5 linked regions of the Macaca fascicularis genome follow. The protein of the gene in region 1 interacts with the protein of each later gene in a biochemical or structural test. Links are inferred from orthologs where the notes say so. Each region holds a gene or a part of one and is shown in the gene's direction. Other genes may lie near its edges.

The links.
Region 2: of the proteins of CCNE1 (region 1) and ARIH1, one has a biochemical effect on the other in vitro, tested with the Homo sapiens proteins (3 studies listed by BioGRID). The link is inferred for Macaca fascicularis from reciprocal best matches to the Homo sapiens genes CCNE1 and ARIH1.
Region 3: the proteins of CCNE1 (region 1) and CDC25A form a complex in vitro, tested with the Homo sapiens proteins (2 studies listed by BioGRID). The link is inferred for Macaca fascicularis from reciprocal best matches to the Homo sapiens genes CCNE1 and CDC25A.
Region 4: of the proteins of CCNE1 (region 1) and PRKN, one has a biochemical effect on the other in vitro, tested with the Homo sapiens proteins (2 studies listed by BioGRID). The link is inferred for Macaca fascicularis from reciprocal best matches to the Homo sapiens genes CCNE1 and PRKN.
Region 5: the proteins of CCNE1 (region 1) and SKP2 form a complex in vitro, tested with the Homo sapiens proteins (2 studies listed by BioGRID, with this or other methods). The link is inferred for Macaca fascicularis from reciprocal best matches to the Homo sapiens genes CCNE1 and SKP2.

Annotation. Positions count from the first base shown.
Region 1 is NC_088393.1:37,078,930-37,082,429, forward strand, and holds part of CCNE1 (G1/S-specific cyclin-E1), read left to right. Parts: intron 1-1,710; coding exon 1,711-1,856; intron 1,857-1,979; coding exon 1,980-2,115; intron 2,116-3,500. UniProt on the Homo sapiens protein: Essential for the control of the cell cycle at the G1/S (start) transition.
Region 2 is NC_088381.1:49,291,645-49,295,719, forward strand, and holds the start of ARIH1 (E3 ubiquitin-protein ligase ARIH1), read left to right. Parts: upstream 1-1,275; 5' UTR 1,276-1,585; coding exon 1,586-1,960; intron 1,961-4,075. UniProt on the Homo sapiens protein: E3 ubiquitin-protein ligase, which catalyzes ubiquitination of target proteins together with ubiquitin-conjugating enzyme E2 UBE2L3.
Region 3 is NC_088376.1:111,123,734-111,127,723, reverse strand, and holds the start of CDC25A (M-phase inducer phosphatase 1), read left to right. Parts: upstream 1-1,190; 5' UTR 1,191-1,247; coding exon 1,248-1,417; intron 1,418-2,399; coding exon 2,400-2,476; intron 2,477-3,990. UniProt on the Homo sapiens protein: Tyrosine protein phosphatase which functions as a dosage-dependent inducer of mitotic progression. Directly dephosphorylates CDK1 and stimulates its kinase activity. Also dephosphorylates CDK2 in complex with cyclin-E, in vitro.
Region 4 is NC_088378.1:8,403,053-8,407,320, forward strand, and holds the start of PRKN (E3 ubiquitin-protein ligase parkin), read left to right. Parts: upstream 1-1,468; 5' UTR 1,469-1,587; coding exon 1,588-1,594; intron 1,595-4,268. Other genes in the region: PACRG (parkin coregulated gene protein), read right to left, coding at 862-1,017. UniProt on the Homo sapiens protein: Functions within a multiprotein E3 ubiquitin ligase complex, catalyzing the covalent attachment of ubiquitin moieties onto substrate proteins. Substrates include SYT11 and VDAC1.
Region 5 is NC_088380.1:36,439,747-36,443,745, forward strand, and holds the start of SKP2 (S-phase kinase-associated protein 2), read left to right. Parts: upstream 1-1,199; 5' UTR 1,200-1,397; coding exon 1,398-1,405; intron 1,406-1,906; coding exon 1,907-2,178; intron 2,179-2,317; exon of another isoform or gene 2,318-2,346; intron 2,347-3,999. UniProt on the Homo sapiens protein: Substrate recognition component of a SCF (SKP1-CUL1-F-box protein) E3 ubiquitin-protein ligase complex which mediates the ubiquitination and subsequent proteasomal degradation of target proteins involved in cell cycle progression, signal transduction and transcription.

The DNA of each region.
Region 1 (3,500 bases):
ATCTTGCTTTGAAACTTGGTGTACACTCAAGTTAAGGACATAGACTTAATTATTCTACCTCATCCACTGGTCCCTAAAAGGCCAACTTTGGAAACCGTTTGTCTGCTGATGGTTCACCTAGTTTGTTTGGGAACTGCTGCTGGACTCATCTATGTCCAAAGGCCTGCTCTCAGATGTGCCAGCCAGCTGGCCTTAGAGGGCGGCACCCAGCATTATGCCTTCAAGACTAGAATTCATTCTTCCTGAATGAAGAACAACTTACAGCGGTTGTAATGTGACCCTTTTTGAGTCAAGGAAATGCCACCCGCACATGGTACTAGAACTGAAAGGAAGCAGCCTTGCTCGCACAGCTGTTGGCAGGAGCTGTCATGGATAATTTGCATGCCCAATTCTTTGTACATTGGGTGGGGAAGAGCTTTATCTGGCTTTGCTCTTCCAACTGAAAGTGTTTGGGCTTCCTCTGAAGGCGACCAATGTGCTGTGGTCGCCACTCTGTGCTGTGTCTTTGAGGTAGCACTTAGAGCCCAAGTTTCCACGTTCATTATAGTGACCCCAGTTGTCTATTTTTTTAAAGCAGAGACCACCGCCAGGCTGGTGGTCTCTGCTTAAAAAAAAAAAAAAAAAGCCAAGTGCGGTGGTTCAGGCCTGTAATCTCAGCACTTTTGGAAGACAAGGCAGGAGGACGGCTTGAGTCCAGGAGTTCAAGACCAGCCTGGACAACATGGCGAAAACCCATCTCTACCAAAAAATACAAAAATTAGCTGGGCGTGCTTGTGCATGCCTGAAGTCCTAGCTGCTTAGGAGGCTGAGGCAGGAGGATGGCTTGACCCCAGGAGGCAGAGGTTGCAGTGAGCTGAGATCGCACCACTGCACTCCAGCCTGGGCAACAGAGGGAGACCCTGTCTCAAAAAAAAAAAAAAAAAGCCAAGTCTCAGACTTTCATACGGCTTCCATGCTAGTGGGATTGTTACCTGCCTAATATCTTCAGCAGAGTTACCATTTTATAACTTTAAAAATCAGACATCTTAGAGTAGGAATAGCTTAAGAAAATATTCTAAATGAACTTTAGTGTTTTTCAGATACTGAAAACTGAATACATATCTGAAACCTTTAAAAGAAAAGCATAGTGCTTTGGTTTATAATAGTTCCTTATTTTATTGGGTATTTGAATTAGCCTGCAAGATTCGAGATTCAGAGGTCTTAAGGAGTATCTAGACTAGCTTCCTGTAGACTTAATAGTATGACCTGTGACCATCACTTGATTTGGTTTTAACTAGGTGGATAGTCATTCTGTTTGTTTCGAGTTAAGGAAAAGAGAAAGTCCTTTATTGTTTAACATATTTGGCTAGTCGCGCAACAAAAAAAAATGTCACATTTGGTGGGTTTTTGTTTTAAACTGAGGGGACTTTAATATATATGGCAGCCAATTTACATTTTTGATCTTTTATACTCATGAACGTGAAGTGCTTATGTAAATATTTTTATTGACAATTCTGTTTTCCTTTTGTGAAATTTTAGTAGATGCGTGTACTCACTAAAAAACAAATCTTTGAGTTGTGACAAAAAATACCATAATGTATCTTTTTGGAAGCACTTTCAGAGGTCATGCCCAGTATCTTACTGAGTTGCAAGTGACTTTGCAGTGTTTTTGGGTAATGTAGGAGCTGTTTGCATCTTATCTCACCTCTCCTGTGTATTTTTCATTTACAGCCTTGGGACAATAATACAGGCTGTGCAGACCCCTGCTCCCTGATCCCCACACCTGACAAAGAAGATGATGAGCGGGTTTACCCAAACTCAACGTGCAAGCCTCGGATTATTGCACCATCCAGAGGCTCCCCGCTGCCTGTACTGAGGTCAGTGCCGACTCTACCACGTGGCTTCCAGGTCTCTTACTCCATACTCCCCTTTATCCCTCATAGCATGGACGCATTCTCACCCCTGTGTGGGCCTCATTTTTGTTGTGTGTTTTGTTGTAGCTGGGCAAATAGAGAGGAAGTCTGGAAAATCATGTTAAACAAGGAAAAGACATACTTAAGGGATCAGCACTTTCTTGAGCAACACCCTCTTCTGCAGCCAAAAATGCGAGCAATTCTTCTGGATTGGTTAATGGAGGTGAGCTTGAGTCTTCCTGTTGCCTTCATGAAAGCACTGAGCATTTCCAGCATTTTTGTGTATTAGGATCTCTGTGTGGTTGATTCCCTTGACACGTTCTCCATCTCTGAAGCTATATGGTATATTTACTGAGGTGGTCTTTCTGTTTTGCTTGTATTCTTAGCAAGAATTTCTGAAATCTTTTTTTTTTTCTTCTTTTCTTTTTTTTGAGATGGAGTCTTTGTCACCGAGGCTGGAGTGCAGTGGCAAAATCTCGGCTCACTGCAACCTCTGCCTCACAGGTTCAAGCGATTCTCCTGGCCTCAGCCTCCTGAGTAGCTGGGATTACTGGCACACGCCACCACACCCGGCTAATTTTTGTATTTTTAGAAGAGACAGGGTTTCACCATGTTGGCCAGGCTGGTCTTGAACTCCTGACCTCGTGATCCACCCACCTTGGCCTCCCAGAGTGCTGGGATTACAGGCCTGAGCCATCGTGCCTGGCTAAACTGCTTTTAAATGTACCCACTGGAACGCATATATCACCTCTTTGATAGCTACTGTCATAAATTATAAACACGTGTGAACAAGTTTATCTTAAGCAGGTCTGACATTGTTCCTTTTTAACTTCTTGGAATCCATTCCCTTTTGCCACCATTCCCATTTATTCTAATAAAATATACTGTTCAAATCCTGGCTGGGCACGGTGGGTCATGTCTCTAATCCCAGCACTTTGGGAGGCCAAGGCAGAAGGATCCCTTGAGCCCAGGAGTTGGAGACTAACCTGGGCAACATGGCAAGACCCCATGTCTTTTCTTTTTTTTTTTTTGAGACAGAGTTTCGCTCTTGTTGCCCAGGCTGGAGTGCAATGGTGCGATCTTGGCTCACTGCAACCTCTGCCTCCCGGTTTCAAGCGATTCTCTTGCCTCCAGCTCCTGAGTAGCTGGGATTACAGGCATACGCCACCATGCCTGACTAATTTTGTATTTTTAGTAGAGACAGGGTTTCTCCATGTTGGTCAGGCTGGTCTTGAACTCCTGACCTCAGGTGATCCGCCTGCCTTGGTCTCCCAAAGTGCCGGGATTACAGGTGTGAGCCACTGCACCCGGCCCTCAAGACCCCATTTCAACAAAACATAAAAAATTGTCAGGGTATAGTGGCTCACGCTTGTAGTCACAACTACTGCGGAGGCTGAAATGGGAGGATTGCTTGAGCCTGGGAGTTGGAGCCTGCAGTGAGCCATGATAGTGCCACTGCACTCCAGCCTGGGTGATCATGGGACTCTGTCTCAATTTTTTTTAGCACATTTTTAAAGATATTTGGACCATTGGAGTGGCTTCTGTATTTTGAGACAGAGTTGCTCTGTCACCTAAGCTGGAGTGTAGTGGTGCAGTCATGGCTCACTA
Region 2 (4,075 bases), on another chromosome or scaffold:
AGGTTTTCAATCTGGCCAATTCTTCAGATTATCTCAAGAGGGAGCCTTCTTATGCCTCTTCTTCCTTCATAACACTTGTCTGGCTCTCATGTCCTGTTTACAAAGATTTAAGCCCACTCTTAAAAAGGCATAAAATGCTCTTACTGACATGACCCCTGACTAACTTGCCTAATATTTTGCCATCTACCCTCCATGCACTTTAAGCTCCCAAACTATTAATTACTTGACACCTTCTGCGCTTTTGCTTGGTCTCTGTGGCCAGACCATCTTCCCTGCCTTCTCTGTTGAACTAGCCATTCAACAACACTCAGCTCACATAGCACACTTTCAGATGAGATTCAAGCATTATCTCTCTTGCTACATTTGGCCCTTGTAGATATTTCTATTATTGCCTGTATTTTGTTGAAGCATTCATGTCTTTTATGTACTATACAGTATATAATACATATGCATTACAATGCATTTTTATGATTCATGTTTTGGGGCATCCAGTGGCTAAAATAGGGCAAGGGTTATGTGGTCTTGGCCAGGTCCCTTTTCCTTTCTGAGCTTCAGGTTCCTCAGGTATAAAATGGGTACTATGGCTCCATGAAGATGAAACAGAATATATGTAAAGCCCTTACACAGTGCTCAATTCATGAAAACCATCGCTGTTTACATTGTTTAGGGCCCTCAAGAGGCGCTCTAATCAGCGGGGTTGAGGAAATGCCTCTTTAAAATGACGTCATTATAGGAGACTTAAAAACCACAGCATGTCTGTACAAGTGAACAGAATCACACAGCTACCTAAAGTGGGTTCGCCTGTCATACAGTTTAGAGGTTCCACTTACAACAGGTTTCCATCAGTAGCCAAAGCAACAGAAATTTTAGATTAACAGATCACGGCTTCCGGGATTACCGCAGGGCGGGCGGGAAGCGCCTTTCCGCCCGGGTGGGAAGGCCGCGTCCCCATGGGACTGCCGGAGGGGGCTGGATCCCTATGGCCTGCGGCAAACACCACCACCTAGGCGGTCCAGGGGTCCCTCTCTCGGCGACTGGTGACCAGGAGGCCGCAATCTCTTCACATAAAAGCTCTACGGGTTTCCGCTCGGCCCTCACAGCGGCAGCGGACCGAACCGAGAAGGCAATTCCTGCTCAAGTCCTAGGCCCAGGTAGGCCGGGCCGTGGGGTCTCCCCGGGCTCCACGCAGGGGCGGCGGGGCGGGGCGCAGTGACGCAAAGAGGAGTGACGCGACGACGCAACGCGACGCGGTGACGCACGCCCCTTTGTTGGCTCAGTAGCGATAGCAGCGGCCGTAGAGGTGGCGCTGGGGACTGTTTTCTCTCGGAGGCCGGAGCGGAGCCGCGTCTGACTGAGGCGGGCAGCAAGCGGCCCCCTCGCTCCCTCCCTCCCTCCTCCGCGCCCTCCCCGCCGCCACCAGCAGTCAAACGCCAACCGCCGCTCCTGGGGAGGAGCCGCGGCCCGCGGGGCCGGAGCCAGGCCTGCGTCCGGACATCAGCCGGAGCCGGAGCGAGAGCCGGGGCCTCGGCGTCCCCGCCCTCTCCCCGCCTCGGCCAGCGTCCGCCGGGCCCCCGCGCGTCGCGCCATGGACTCGGACGAGGGCTACAACTACGAGTTCGACGAGGACGAGGAGTGCAGTGAGGAGGACAGCGGCGCCGAGGAGGAGGAGGACGAAGACGACGACGAGCCGGACGATGATACCCTGGATCTGGGCGAGGTGGAGCTGGTGGAGCCCGGCCTGGGCGTCGGCGGGGAGCGGGACGGACTGCTGTGCGGGGAGACGGGCGGTGGCGGCGGCAGCGCTCTGGGGCCCGGCGGTGGCGGTGGCGGCGGCGGCGGCGGCGGTGGTGGCGGGCCGGGGCACGAGCAGGAGGAGGATTACCGCTACGAGGTGCTCACGGCCGAGCAGATTCTACAACACATGGTGGAATGTATCCGGGAGGTCAACGAGGTCATCCAGGTGAGGGTGGCCGCCGCGCCAGCTGGACCGGGCTCAACCGGGGAGCGGATTCAGGCTGCACGCGCGGTCCCAAGGGACAGGCCTGGGCCTGGTGCGCAGCCCAGCCCGGTGCCTCCCGGCCTTGTCTTCTCCGCTGCCTCTGCTGGGGATAGAGGGTGTCGAAAGCAGAGGTTCGCCGATTAGCCGGGTGTGGGGAGGTACTCTGGGGGCGGTGCTTCCCAAGTCCTGCTATGGCGGAGGCCTTCGGCCGCCTAAGCCTTCTCTTGCGGGCAATTTCTGCCAGTCCCTGGCCCCGGTGTCCTTTCTTTGGCTGGGCGAGCGCCTGCTGGGGCGGGGCGGAGGAGGTGGGGTGGGGAAGAGGAGTCAGGAAGAATTGGGCCCCGACGAGGGTTACCCCGGCCTTAGCCTCATTTGAGCACTTTTGGAAGGGATTAGAGTAGGCCTTAGAGCAGCTTGGTGTACAGTTGCCCCAAGTGGGCACCAGTTAATAAAGAAATGGATCTTGGCAGTCTCAAGTGCCTACTTAAAGGGTGGGGGAAGGGAACTATTTCTCGGAAGAGGTGCTGATGGGCCTTTTCAGATGGTGAGGCTTCTGCTTACATCTTTTTTACATTTTTGCTGTTTGGGACCTAACTGCTACTTTCTCTAGTCGTAGCATATTACTTGCTTGAAGCTGTTGGAATAGTTACTGCATATTGCATACCCATCCTTGTAGCTAAAACGGCAACAAAATGCAGTGTTGTCTAATATCGGACAAGACTCTATTGTTAGAAAGAAGAGACTTTCTGCTTGTGAACTCCTTTCTCTGATATTTTCTATTTTGTGGTAAGTTAGGCTTGGTGTAAGTTGATAACCACATCTCAGTGAACCATATGCGTCAGATTTTGCATTTTTGAGCTTTAGAAAATCAAAAATCTTCATTTCTTTGGGGGAAAAAACCTCACTTGTCCTGAGGAATCAGGGATATGGCCGAAGAATAAAAATGAAGCTTGATTTAGTGTAACTTTTAGAAAACCTGGAAGGAAACATATATGAGCAGCAAGTTACTTACTATTGCCTCTTGCTTGTCAGTCATCATTTCGTTTTTAACATAAATTGGTTGGCTAAATATTCATTGACAAATTAGAAGTATGGCACTGTCAACTCGTTGACTTTCTATCATTAACAGATTTTTATAGTATTATAAGTAACAGTTTTAAAAATTGAATCATCTATTCAGGCACTGTTTGAATACAGCGTTTTGCATAATAGAAAAATGTCTGATACCTAGTGCCATTACTAAATAGTGGAAGTCTTAATTTTTTAATATAGAGAACGCAGTCTAAGAAGGAAGTTGAGGATTGTAGAAGATAATTTTTTTTTGTTTGAAGCAGAGTCTCGCTGTGTCTCCCAGGCTGGAGTTCAATAGTGCAGTCTCAGCTCACTGCAACCTCCGCCTGCCGGATTCATGCAGTTCTTCTGCCTCAGCTTCCCCGGTAGCTGGTACTACAGGCGTGCGCCACCATGCTCAGCTAATTTTTTGTATTTTTAGTAGAGACGGGTTTCATCATGCTGGCCAGGCTGGTCTCGAACTCCTGACCTCGTGATCCGCCCGCCTCGTCCTCGCAAAGTGCTGGATTACAGGCGTCAGCCACCGCGCCAGGCCTGTAGAAGATGCACGTGTAAGACAAATCTGATTAGGTAAGAAAAAATAAAAAGACAAAACAAGCCTGCCACCCAGAGACCTACACCAAAATGTCAACTGTAGTTATTTTTCTAAACCTTTGGATAGCTACTAATATGGTTCAACGTTAATAACAGTGGAACTGTACTGTATGTTCTGTGTTTTCAGTGGAAAAACATTATTACAAAAATCCTCTGAACAACCTTCTGTCAAGTAAGTTTTTCGAGAACTTACATGATTATTGATCCAAACTGATTTATTTAATCAGTCTGTGATTTGCCTTCCTTTTTATTTTCTAGTTTCTGGCTTTTATAAACATCATTTAAAATATTATTATAGGTCAGTCTTTGAGTGTTCTTACTTTCTTGGGATAAAGTGAATTGCTGAGTCAAAAGAATTTGCTCATTTTCAATGTGTTTGATACATACTACCACATTGCTTTCGGAAAAGTT
Region 3 (3,990 bases), on another chromosome or scaffold:
AGCTATTATTTGCTATTATTGTATTTGCTGTTATTGCTCTCTAGGTGCTCCCAGGGGGCTAAGAAGTCGTGGGAAGAAAGAAATGATTCTAAGAGAATCCAGTAAGGGCTAGAATGGAAGTGAGCAAACAATGCTGAGGCCCACAGCACATGTTGTACTGCGGGGTTCAAATCCCATAAGGCCAGCAGCACCCGGGGTCTGTGAGCCCTCCAGAGTTGGGCCCTGGTGGTCGAGTCCAGTCCTGGGGGTCATTCCATTCCCTCCCTCATTATAAATTGGGGCCTGAAGGCCCGGGGCGGAAGAAAGGGGTCCACAATACTGCACGGTTAGAGGCCGAGCCAAGGCTGGATCCGGCCAGACCTCCACAGCTCTTCCTTAGCCTCCACATTCCCTCAGGGTGTCGGGCGCCAGGTTGGGGGCGAGGTAGTGGAGGCCCAACGGAGGCCGAAGCTAACTGGACGGCGCCTCGCGATGAGAACTACGCTTCCCAGCATGCGACGGGGCAAGGGGGCCTTTCAGCCGCGAGCAGTGTCTCGCAGGGTCTGCTGGGAGTTTTCATTGACCTCTGATCCCCCCGCTCATTTTGATCCGCGCTAGTCCACTCTAGGCTCCGCCCCCTTCTGAGAGCGGATGACCTGGCAGAGTCCCGCGAGCCGCTTCCTTCTTCCCCTCTCATTGGCCCAGCCTAGCTGCCATTCGGTTGCGAGGAGGAGAAGTTGCTTACTGATTGGTGGATTCCGTTTGGCGCCAACTAGGAAAGGGGGGCGGGGCAGCAGCGGCCCCCACTGAGCTGCTATTACCGCGAAAGGCCAGATTGGCTGCGACAGCCTGGGTAAGAGGTGGAGGTCGGCTCGGTTTTCTGCTACCCAGAGCTGGGCAAGCGGGTGGGAGAACAGCGAAGACAGCTTGAGTCTGGGCCGTTGCCTCGAGGCTCTCGCCCGCCTTCTCTCGCTGACCCGCCGCGTTTGTTTGGATTTAATCTTCAGGTTGCCGGCGCCCGCCCGCCCGCTGGCCTCGCGGTGTGAGAGGGAAGCACCCGTGCCTGTGGCTGGCGCCTGGAGGGTCCGCACACCCGCCCGGCCGCGCCGCTTGCCCGCGGCAGCCGCGTCCCTGAACCGCGGAGTCGTGTTTGTGTTTGACCCGCGGGCGCCGGTGGCGCGCGGCCGAGGCCGGTGTGTGCGGGGCGGGGCGGTCGCGGCGGAGGCGGAGGAAGAGGGAGCTGGAGATCTGCGAGGCCGGGCGCCGCCATGGAACTGGGCCCGGAGCCCCCGCACCGCCGCCGCCTGCTCTTCGCCTGCAGCCCCCCTCCCGCGCCGCAGCCCGTCGTGAAGGCGCTATTTGGCGCGCCAGCCGCCGGGGGACTGTCGCCTGTCACTAACCTGACCGTCACTATGGACCAGCTGCAGGGGCTGGGCAGGTGAGGAGAGACCGGCGGGCGGTGTCCCAGGCCTCTGGCCTCGGCGTCGGCCTCGGGGAGATCAGGCCAAGAAACGGACCGGGAGAAGGGCGAGACCCTTCCGTCCGGGTTCGCCGCTCGGGGACCAGCCGGGCTAGGGCCCGCCATGTGCACCCCCGCCCGGGCGGAATGTTGGGCGGGAGAGGCGGTCCGGACCTCCCAGGGGAAGAGGTGTAGATCTCGGGCCTAAGCCCGAGCCAGGCCCACCTTCACCCATTTCGGATTGCTCCGTACTGTACTTCTGTCTGTATCCCTGGAAGCTCTTTGGAATCTACCCCCGCGGGGAAAATCAGGCTCTTCTAGGCGCTCACATTCACCCTTTGCTAAACCACCCTCAGGATCTTAGTTTGCTGTGATCTTTGTTCCTTCTCAATAAAGGACCATGGCATTTTCTTTCCTGGCGTTTATGTAAAATCATCTCAGTCCCTCGACCCGTGCACATTCCTGATGTCCACTCTGCTGCTTTCCTAAGGCCAGGTCTTTTTACCTAACTTTCTGAAAGCTTCCTGGGCTTTTCCTGATAGCAAAAAATGCATTCCACGGTGTTTCCGGCGGAAGAGCTACTTTCCCTTCAATCTCTGGCATCCCATTTGCTAAGCACATGTCTTGTGCATTTCCCGACTTCTGAAAAGCAGAAAGTGCCCTGTTCAACTTTCATCCCAACTCTGTCACAGTACCTAGGACACATGCTCTTGTTTTAGGAAATACCCCAATATTTGCCATAGCCATCATAACCTGCAGTGTGGTCCAAGGTCATGCCCACCCACTCCTTTTTTCTCCTTTGCCCAAGTGCTAATTGGGTGTTCAGAGTGGCAAAGTGGGATCTTTGCTTCTTAATCTGCTTCTTAAAGTGGCTGCTGCTTAATCTCATGGCCTATCTCCTGCATGTGACCTTTTAATTATATCCTATAAATCACTCATGGTTTATTTCTGTTGGTTTCAGTGATTATGAGCAACCACTGGAGGTGAAGAACAACAGTAATCTGCAGAGAATGGGCTCCTCTGAGTCAACAGATTCAGGTATTTAAGTCTGTTGTGTGGGGAGCAATACTGTGAATTTCCTGAAACATGCCTTTTCACCCAGGAGGTTAGTTTTGGTTAGAACTTGAGGAAGTCACGGCATTGGGTGATAAACATTTTTTTTTTTTTTTTTTTTTTTGAGACAGAGTTTCGCTCTTGTTGCCCAGGCTGGAGTGCAATGGCATGATCTCGGCTCATCACAACCTCCACCTCCCGGGTTCAAGTGATTCTCCTGCCTCAGCCTCCCAAGTAGCTAGGATTACAGGCATGCACCACCACACCCAGCTAATTTTGTATTTTTTAGTAGAGACAGAGTTTCTTCATGTTGGTCACGCTGGTCTTGAACTCCCAACCTCCGGTGATCCGCCTGCCTCGGTCTCCCAAAGTGCTAGGATTACAGGCGTGAGCCACCATGCCCATTGATAAACATTATTAAGAAGAATACAAAGGAGCCCTTATGGCTATTTATGAAGAAAGGAAATAGGCTTCGAATGTCTGTAAGGAGATGGTGTGCGCTTGCCCTTTAAGGATGGGTAGTAAAGTAAAATTCACCATACCACCGTAAGTGGCATTCAGGCAATCTTACTGGCTAAAATACAGGGTCAAATTATTGGAAGTACAGTGTCATGAAATCATTTCATTGATGCTGCTATGGAGGAAATTGCCAGTGCATTTCATTCTTCATGCATTCATATTACTGCAGAGTTTATCTGTATTTTTACAGATAAGACCGTTGGGGCAAAGATGCTTTAGGTTAAAGGAATTGGAAGAGCAAAAGTCCTTTTTTTTTCTGAGACGGCGTCTTGCTCTGTTGCCCAGGCTGGAGTGCAGTGGTGCAGTCTTGGCTCACTGCAACCTGCGCCTCCGGGGTTGATGCCATTCTCCTGCTTCACCCTCCCGAGTAGCTGGGACTACAGGCACCCGCCACCACACCCGGCTAATTTTTTTGTATTTTTAGTAAAGATGGGGTTTCACTGTGTTAGACAGGATGGTCTCAATCTCTTGACCTCATTGTCCCCCCGCCTCGGCCTCCCAAAGTGCTGGGATTACAGGCGTGAGCCACCACGCCCGGCTGCAAAAGTCTTAAAATGTAATGTAGGCTTCTGTATGTAGAATGTAATTTAATAGAGAACTGGGGATAGGATTATCATTTGTAGCAGTGTGGTGAGCAAGGGCTCTAACACTTCACTTTCCGTAAGGCTACATAGACATGTGAGCTATGGGTGGGTGAGTCTGCGTCATCTGAGCTGACATATAAGTAATGCTGAACAGTGTCTCCTTCACCCTGCTTCCTGTTTTGAGATGGACACCTTGGTGTCATTTTGTTAAAGGCAGCAAGTGCTTGCCTTGCATGTCATGACTAGTAGTATTTTTCATTTTGAGACAAGGTCTCAACTCTTGTCACCCATGCTGGAATGCAGTGGCCCCATCTTGGCTCACTGCAACCTCCGCCTCCAAGATTCAGACAATTCTCCTGCCTCAGCTTCCCTAGTAGCTGGAATTACAGGTGCAGG
Region 4 (4,268 bases), on another chromosome or scaffold:
TTATATGAATTTGAAAGCTGCATTTATTATTTAATGCCTCATTCCCAGACAGGTGCTTACTCAGTAGCAAAATCTGCCTTAGCATACCAAGTGTAAAGCTATGTAACAAATAGGAAGGTTTAAAAAATAGATACTATCATGCAGACAGCTAAAATATTTGTATGTATTTTTAATCTTTTTTTCCTCTAATGATACTTAGAATATTTTATTTTTGTTACTACAAATAATGCAGATGAAATATGAATTGTATTAGTAGCAGAGACACATGAGCTAAAGCTTGTATTGTTTAAAGCACATCATCTTAAAAGGCCTGTCAGGAAACAGTGTTCATATTAAGTGGGCTTTCAGTACTCTAACAAGATGACATCATTTTCTAAGAGACAAGTGTTGTTAGAGTAACTGCTAGGATATTCCAAAATTTCTCATTATAGATTATTTAATGAGTTTATGTTCCCAGTTGTATATCAGCTCATGTTAAATTTTGCAAGAGTTTATGATTTCTAAGAGCTCATCTTCTGTAAGGCCCTTTGCTGAGTGGGGTTAGTTAGCAATCAGTAATTAAAGGGGATCTTTTTACCTCGTGTAAATAGCGTAAGAGTAATTTTGGGCGGTTTAGAAACGATGAGTTATCAGGAAGGTGCTTATCAATGGGCAGAGTATATCATTTGCCCAGGATTCTAACAACCTAGCCTGCCCCCCACACACTGTGGGGGACCGTCTGCTACTTGCCAAGTAATTGCCATTTTTGGCAAAGACCACCCAGGACATGGGCTCAGAGTCCATCCTAGGGCTGGCCAACCTCTGTAAATCTCGTGTCCCCTGATACGGAGCGAGTGCATTCAATTCAGGAAGATCACTTACGACTGAGTTTTTCATCATGGCTTTGACTGTGAAGCCCTCAGAAACCAGGGAGTGAGGCTGGTGCACCGGGAGCGGCTGTTGTGCCAGCAGCTTGGTCCTCTTCGGCATCTTGTCTGGGCATTTGTTTAAGCTCAGGGTCTCTTTTTCTGCCACCATCTTCCTAGAAAATGTCTTGTTCTCATAAAAAGTGTAGTAAAAGAATCAGTGGGTTTTACGGATGTGAGCAGGAGGTCGGGAAAAAAATGTCAAAAGGCGCGTTAATGGTAGAAATTCAACCCCTCGTAGTGCCCAGGTTGATCCAGATGTTTGGCAGCTCCTAGGTGAAGGGAGTTTAGGGGAGGGGTGGGGCGGGAAGAGGGCAGGACCGTAGCTAGAGCTGCAACAAGCTTCCAAAGGTAAGCCTCCCGGTTGCTAAGCGACTGGTCAACACTGCGGGCGCATAGCTCCGCCCCTCGGTGACGTACGATTGCTGGGCCTGAAGCCGGAAAGGGAGGCGGCGGTGAGCTGGAGGGCAGGAGGCGTGAGGAGAAACTACGCATTAAAACTACGACTCCCAGCAGGCCCTGGGCCGCGTACCCTCCGCGCGTGCGCATTCCTAGGGCCCGGCGCCGGGGCGGGGAGCCCTGGAAGATTTAACCCAGGAGAGCCGCTGGTGGGAGGCGCTGGCTGGCGCCGGTGCGCGCGTAGGCCCTTTCCTGGCCCGCAGCCGCCACCTGCCCAGTGACCATGATAGGTACGTGGGTACCTGCCAGGTACAGCCTCATCTGCGCCGCCCTGCGCCCCGGTGTGGCCTCGGCCGACCTGGACCCCAGGTGCCAACTGTCAGTGACGGGGCCAAAGTGCCCATGCCGTACCCGGCCCGCACCGCCGGGCTCTCCAGCTCAGCGACGCGGGCCCGGGGCCCCAGTGTGTGCGTTCCAAGCCCTCGCCCGCCCGCCCCTGCTCTGAGCGTTCCCGTGAAGACCGCCTCACCGGGGACGCCAGGCGGCCCCGCACCCCCGGTCCTCGCTCATGGTCCCCCGGACCGTGTAGGGTCCCGAAGCCTTCGCCCCGCCGCCGCCCCTCGCCCTCGAGGCCCTGGCCAGTTGTCGTGCGGTTCAGGACCCATCGAGACCCACTCTTTGTGGGGCTCTTTCAGGAAACCCCAGCAAAGCATTAAACTCTAATGGAAGGCACCTGGTGAGGGTGGCTGGGCGCCACAGAAACTCCTCCAGATGAATCTAAACTTCTTGCTCCCTCGGATGTTTCCTTTTAAACTTCTCGTTGGAGGGCTGAGGTGAAAGAAAAATTGAGAGTAAATAATAGCCAAGATTACATCTACTGCCTTTTGCAATATAACTTTTTTTTTTTTTTTTTTTTTTGGTAAAACACAATGACCGAGGTGCAATTTTGTGAACAAAACTTAGTGGCATCAGAGTTGTTCATGAACACTTGATGTGTAAGATGAGCAAAGGTGCAAAGGTCCTCTTCCAGGGTTGTTGAACCAAAAACTACTTTAGGGGCTGTCCCTAAAAATGAATGGAAATGCACCATATGTTTAGAAGCCAGTGCTATATGGGGTTTCATTATTGTGGAAGTTTCTCCAGGTTATGTATGGAGGGTTTAGTGAGCTTGTTTAGGGCTAATTCCTGAGGAGCGTCCCTTACAAAACACTTTTGATTGCAGTAAGTACGTTCGAAGTCAGATGTGGTCTGTCCAGAAGTAAGGTGAGAGGTGGATTCATAAAATATATGATCTTTATGCACTGAAAACACGTACTACATCTGTTTTTATTTATGAAGTTATTGTTAAAATGTAAACATTCTGCCCATCAGTGGGAGAATCAAGCCAGCTAACTGGCATTGTCTTTGTCTCTGTGGTAAAACAAGAATGTTGTTCAGCCTTCCCTTTCTAGCATGGTCTGACTTTTGGTGAATGACTTGAAAGTTAACCAAATTATGAAAAAGTTATAATTTTTTGAGTTTTCTTGAGCTCTTTTTAGGTGACATTTACGTAAGATTCACTTGTAAGCACAAGTCTGAACTGAATCAGAAAACCAAGTAGAAGAGATTTTCCAAAATCCGTGCTATCAGTAGTCTACAGGAAGAAAATAGCCTATACCTTATTTTGAAGACAGTTAAATACATTTTATTTTAATTTAACTTAATCTAGTGCACAGATAATTTTAAGAGAAACAAATTTATTGTAAAGCTATATGAAGACAGGCACTTAAGATCTGGGATTGGAGGCGTAAGCCACCACGCCCAGCCTCATTAGCCACATTTCAGTAAACATCTGAATGGCCAGTTTGAGATTTGGGTGTGGTGAACAGTGCTAAAGGTAGGTGAAAGTGAAAACCATTAAAAGGAAGCCTTGGAGTGATGGATTTTGTGTTTTTGTGACAAAAATTCAGAGCGAGGAAAGACATTATAGATTTTATCCAGTGATCAGTTGGAGATCAAAATGTAAATAGTATGTATCTGGGATTTTCTGTTAAAGGTAAGAGTGCTTCTCAAAGCTTGCTCCTTTCAGGCCTATGCTTTCTCTGTTACACTCACCTTGTTGCGGGATTCAGGAGGACGAGAGAGACCTCGGGTTGAAACAGGAGAATCTTGATCGAGTGCACTCAGGCCCAGCTGACTCACATGCAATAGACTGGGCCCAGAATAAAGACAGTACTTGACTTTTATACACACTTCACAAAAGGAGGTGGGCTAGCTTGAAGCAAACTTACGGTGGTGGCAAAGCAGGGATACAGAGGCAGGACAAAGGCAGGACTGCACATGGCCATCGCCAAGCAACCCAGATGTTCGTTATCTAGGTTTCCCTGGGCACAGGCTTATCCTATAACCTTCACTATGGTGCCCAGGCAGCTGTAGTTCAGGCCTACTCAGGCTTCTCATGACCTTCGTTGTGCTTCTTAGATAAAACAGAATACTTGAAATCACTAGTTACAGAGAACAAGAGTCTATAAACTGATTCCATAAAACAAAGGAAAATTTGTTTTTCTTCTCCCTGTGTTGAGGGAGTGCTGGGAGAGTCTCCAGAGCACATTCGATAATATTAGCAAGACTCTTCCTGGATCTGGGCTGTGCTGTTGCTGCCTCTGGGACAAGTTAGCCTAAAACAGGAAAACTTATTTCTTTTTCTTTTTAATTTTATTTTTCTTTAATTTCCCGCCCCAACCTTAATGCAAATAATATTCTGCCAGTTGGAGAAACGTAAAGATGGGTTTCCTGGTAGAAGAGGAGTAAACAAGACTGACTGCGACCTAACTGCTAGTGGAATGTGCCTTCCTTTTACTTTCTCAAAACCAAAGATTCCCTTCTTGGGATGAGGACTGTTTCATAAGTCCTTACATTTCCCACCTGGATTGCGATTGATATGTTGAATGCCCTGACCTGGGCAGCTATGGAAACGTAATTTAA
Region 5 (3,999 bases), on another chromosome or scaffold:
TCACTATAGAGTAAATCATTTTTTCAAGGAAACCAGAGGGCGTGTCATACAGCATCACTGAATATTCTAATATGAGATGAAGCTGTTATGCTTCCTTATGAACTTTATAAATCTTCATTTTTATGAAGCTTAGAATTCATCCCCCTTCCCTCTTCCACTGTTTTCCCGGGGTCACAGTTGTAGTATAGTTTGTCCAATGGATTTCGCATGGTCATTGTACCTGGAATATGTCACGCTCTCTACTCCAACCGCCCCCAAACTCTTCTCAGCAGAGATAGGCTTAAAGCAGCTTGCTTTTAGGCGGCGACGCAAACACACGTAGCCAGTTGAGCGACAGCAAGCAACCAAATGGCTTTGCTGGAGGCCCCCTGCGTTGCACGGGTAAAGCCCGTTGCAAAATACCGTCCTTTCATTTATTCCTCTGTTACTATTTATGAGACTTGTCAAGGCTGCAAGGGCATGCGCAGCCTTCCCACCACACAGGACCCGCTGGGGTCTCCGGCTCCCCTAAAATTAAACCACTGTCTTTCGTTCCGACTCATGTTTAGCTGTTGTGCGTATTTTACAGATAAAGGAGGGATCCTGTCCACAGACCCAATTCTAAGGGCCGCCTTCTCCCCCACGGAGGAAGAAGCTTCCTGGCAAAAGGACGAACAGGTGCGACGCCCGCATTTCGCAGCCTCTCACCTGGCCAGCGGGCTGGGCTACTGTCCCCACTCAGCAGCTAGGGACGTGGGCCCCGCGGCGGCGGCCACTTGGGGTCTGCCGGGTCCCCTCTCTTTCCGCCTGCGCTCGGCCTCGGACCCCACACTCAAAAGCGCCTCACGCGTTCCGCCTTAGGCTCACTGTCCGATCTCGCCAGACAGCGTCTGGATGGGACCGGGAAGCGGCGGCCGTCACAGCTGTTCAGGTTCTGGGATCCACGCTCAGAGACGACAGCGCTGGTGATCACCAGAAGGCCTGCCGGCTCCCAGGAAAGAAAAATCCGTCCACAGTCCAGCGGCTGACATTTCCCAGTCAGCCGTAGCACCGCCCGCTTCCGCCTCCCCGCCTACCCCATGGGCCGACCAGTCCCGCTCCCGCGGGGGGTTGTGGGTATCTGGAAGGCGGGTAAAGCTGCAAGGGAAGGAAGTTAGGGCGAGCCCGTCGGACTACGAAACGGGACGGAAACTACAATTCCCAGCAGGCCGTGGGGCCTCAGAGTGCGGCCGCGAAGCAAAGCGGGCTGTAGAGTCTTGCGCGCGCGGTGGGGATGGAACGTTGCTAGACTTAGCGGGTCTGGCTCCTGGGGGTCCGAGCAGCACGCTCGGAGCCGCCGCGCGCCAAATCGGGAATCCGGGAGGCGAGCAGCTCTGCAATTAATGCACGTATTTTAAACTCCCGAGCCTGCGGACGCTATGCACAGGTAAACGGATTCAAAAAGGGAAGAGCATGAATGGACCCTCTTAATAATTCTTTTAGGCCGCGAATATCGCTACTGGCTAATATTGTTAGTAATGCTGTTAAGTGAATGGTTGCTTAGCCCCTTCTTGGGGAAAGTGTGAATGGATGAATGCCTTAGTGCGGGGATCAGCGTGCGGTTTTATCTGGCTTCCTTAATTGGGCTTTTCTGCCACCGTTTTCAATCAGTGTATGATTGCCCTGTCTCTCTCCTTGTCTGTTCCCTCCGCTGGGAGAAATTCTTGAGGCCTTCTGCAGGATCGTAAGTCAAAGAGCCTTCTCGATTTGTTCTTTTCATTTCTTCATTTTCTTGGTAACTCTCCGCGGGCACGTAAAAAAATGCGATTGTGTTAGCTGCTGTGAAGGTTTTCCACAATACATAAACTGCAGCTTCTTTAATGCCTTCCTTGGAATTATTTATGGGTGTGTTTTCGAAAGGAACCGGGGGTATTGTGCACTTCTGCAGGAAGCACCTTCAGGAGATTCCAGACCTGAGTAGCAACGTTGCCACCAGCTTCACGTGGGGATGGGATTCCAGCAAGACTTCTGAACTGCTGTCAGGCATGGGGGTCTCCGCCCTGGAGAAAGAGGAGCCCGACAGTGAGAACATCCCCCAGGAACTATTCTCAAACCTGGGCCACCCGGAGAGCCCCCCACGGAAACGGCTGAAGAGCAAAGGGAGTGAAAAAGACTTTGTGATTGTCCGCAGGCCTAAGCTAAATCGAGAGAACTTTCCAGGTAAGGATATGAGGGTAAAAATGTAAGTTATGCAAAGGGTGGATTTAGCTATGTTGTTGGGAAACCTTTGTTCAGGGATCTTTACCATGGGTTCCTTTTAAGATTGCCTAATTCTGAAGCTGTTTTTTCAACACAATAGGGCAAGTCGTCAAGTATGCAGGAATCTTGGTAGGTATATATGTGTGTGTGTGTATGTGTGTATATATATGTGTGTGTGTGTGCGTTCTGGTGCATAATCACCCTGAAAATTTTAACCCATGAGAAGACATTCCTGCCTTTTTCCTTAGAAGGGAATCTGTCTTCCTAAAGGCCAGCTCGGTGCCACCAATTAATAGAAACAAAGCAGTGGTCTTCTTGTAGGATTCTTTTGCTTTGTACCCCTGAGTGAGCTTTTTGTCTTAATCACTTAAGTTATTTATCAGTGGACTGCTGAAGTGAACGTTCACCTAAGTGGGGGAGAATTATCTCCCCAGGCCCACTCCCACTCCCATATTATCTTCTCTGGTGTGTTCTGTCTCCATTACTGCTGACACTATCTGTTTAATCACCCAACCCAAAAACCTGAGAGTCAGTCCGATTCCCACCGCCCCCAACATCCACTCATTCATTGCATCTTTCTCTCTTCTCTGGTAACTATTTCTCAAGTTCTTATCTTCTCTTGCCTCAACTATTGGAGCAGATTCATAATTCCAACCTTCTCCCCAGATCTATCCCCTAGAACTAGAATGGATTGACTGAAAAACTATTTCTTCCCTCCTTAATAGCTCCCCATCCCCTAGTTTCTCAAGCAGGTGAATGAGTGCCTCCCAGAGTGAACCAGAACCCTGGAGTATGCAAAAGCCATAGGGTAAATAGGGCATTGACCTGGGGTTATCAGTTTTTCTTACTAGTAAGCTATTTAAAACAGTAATGCAGCAAATATTTGCTGAGCACATACCATGTGCTAGGCAGTGTTCCAGGTGCTGGAGATACACCAGTGGGCACAACATAAACATTTCTGCTCTCAGGGAGCATCCATTCTAGTGAGAGAAAACAATAAACACAATAACTATTTTTATATAGTATGTTAGAAGGTGATAAGTGCTATGGCTAAAAACAAAAATGGAACAAGCCAAGAGGGAATGCAGGTCCTGGGGTGGGAAGATAGAGTGCACTTTTAAACCAGGTATTGAGGGAAAGCCTCAACTGGACAGTGACCTTTAAGCAAAGACATAAAGGAGGCAAGGGAGTGTGCCATGCAGATATCATGGAGAAAAGAGCTCCAGGCAGAAGGAATAGCCAATGCAAAGACCCTGGTGCATAAATGTGACACATTTGTTCCAGGAACAGGGAAGCCATATTCTAAGAGTAGAATGAGCAAAGGAGAGAGTTGGGAGAGATCAGGCTGGAGGTAATGTTGAGCACAGTTGTGATGGGACCTGATTTAACCTTCTAAAAAGGACACACTGATGTGTTGAGACTCAACCGCAGGGGTGTCAAGGGTAGAAACTTAGGGTCTTTTTTAAATTTCATATTTTCAAGACAGAGTCTTGCTCTGTCGCCCAGGCTAGAGTGCAGTGGCATTCTCTTGGCTCACTGTCTTCACCTGGATTTGAGAGATTCTCCTGCCTCAGCCTCCTAAGTAACTGAGACTACAGGCATGCACCACCACGCCCAGCAATTGTTTTGTTTTTTGTAGAGTTGGGCGGCGGCGGGGGGGGGGGGGGGGGGGGGTGGGGGGGGTGGGGGTGGGGGGTGGGATCTTACCATCTTGTCCAGGCGGGTCTCAAACTCCTGGACTCAGGCGATCCTCCAGCCTTGGCCTCCCAAAGTGCTGGGATT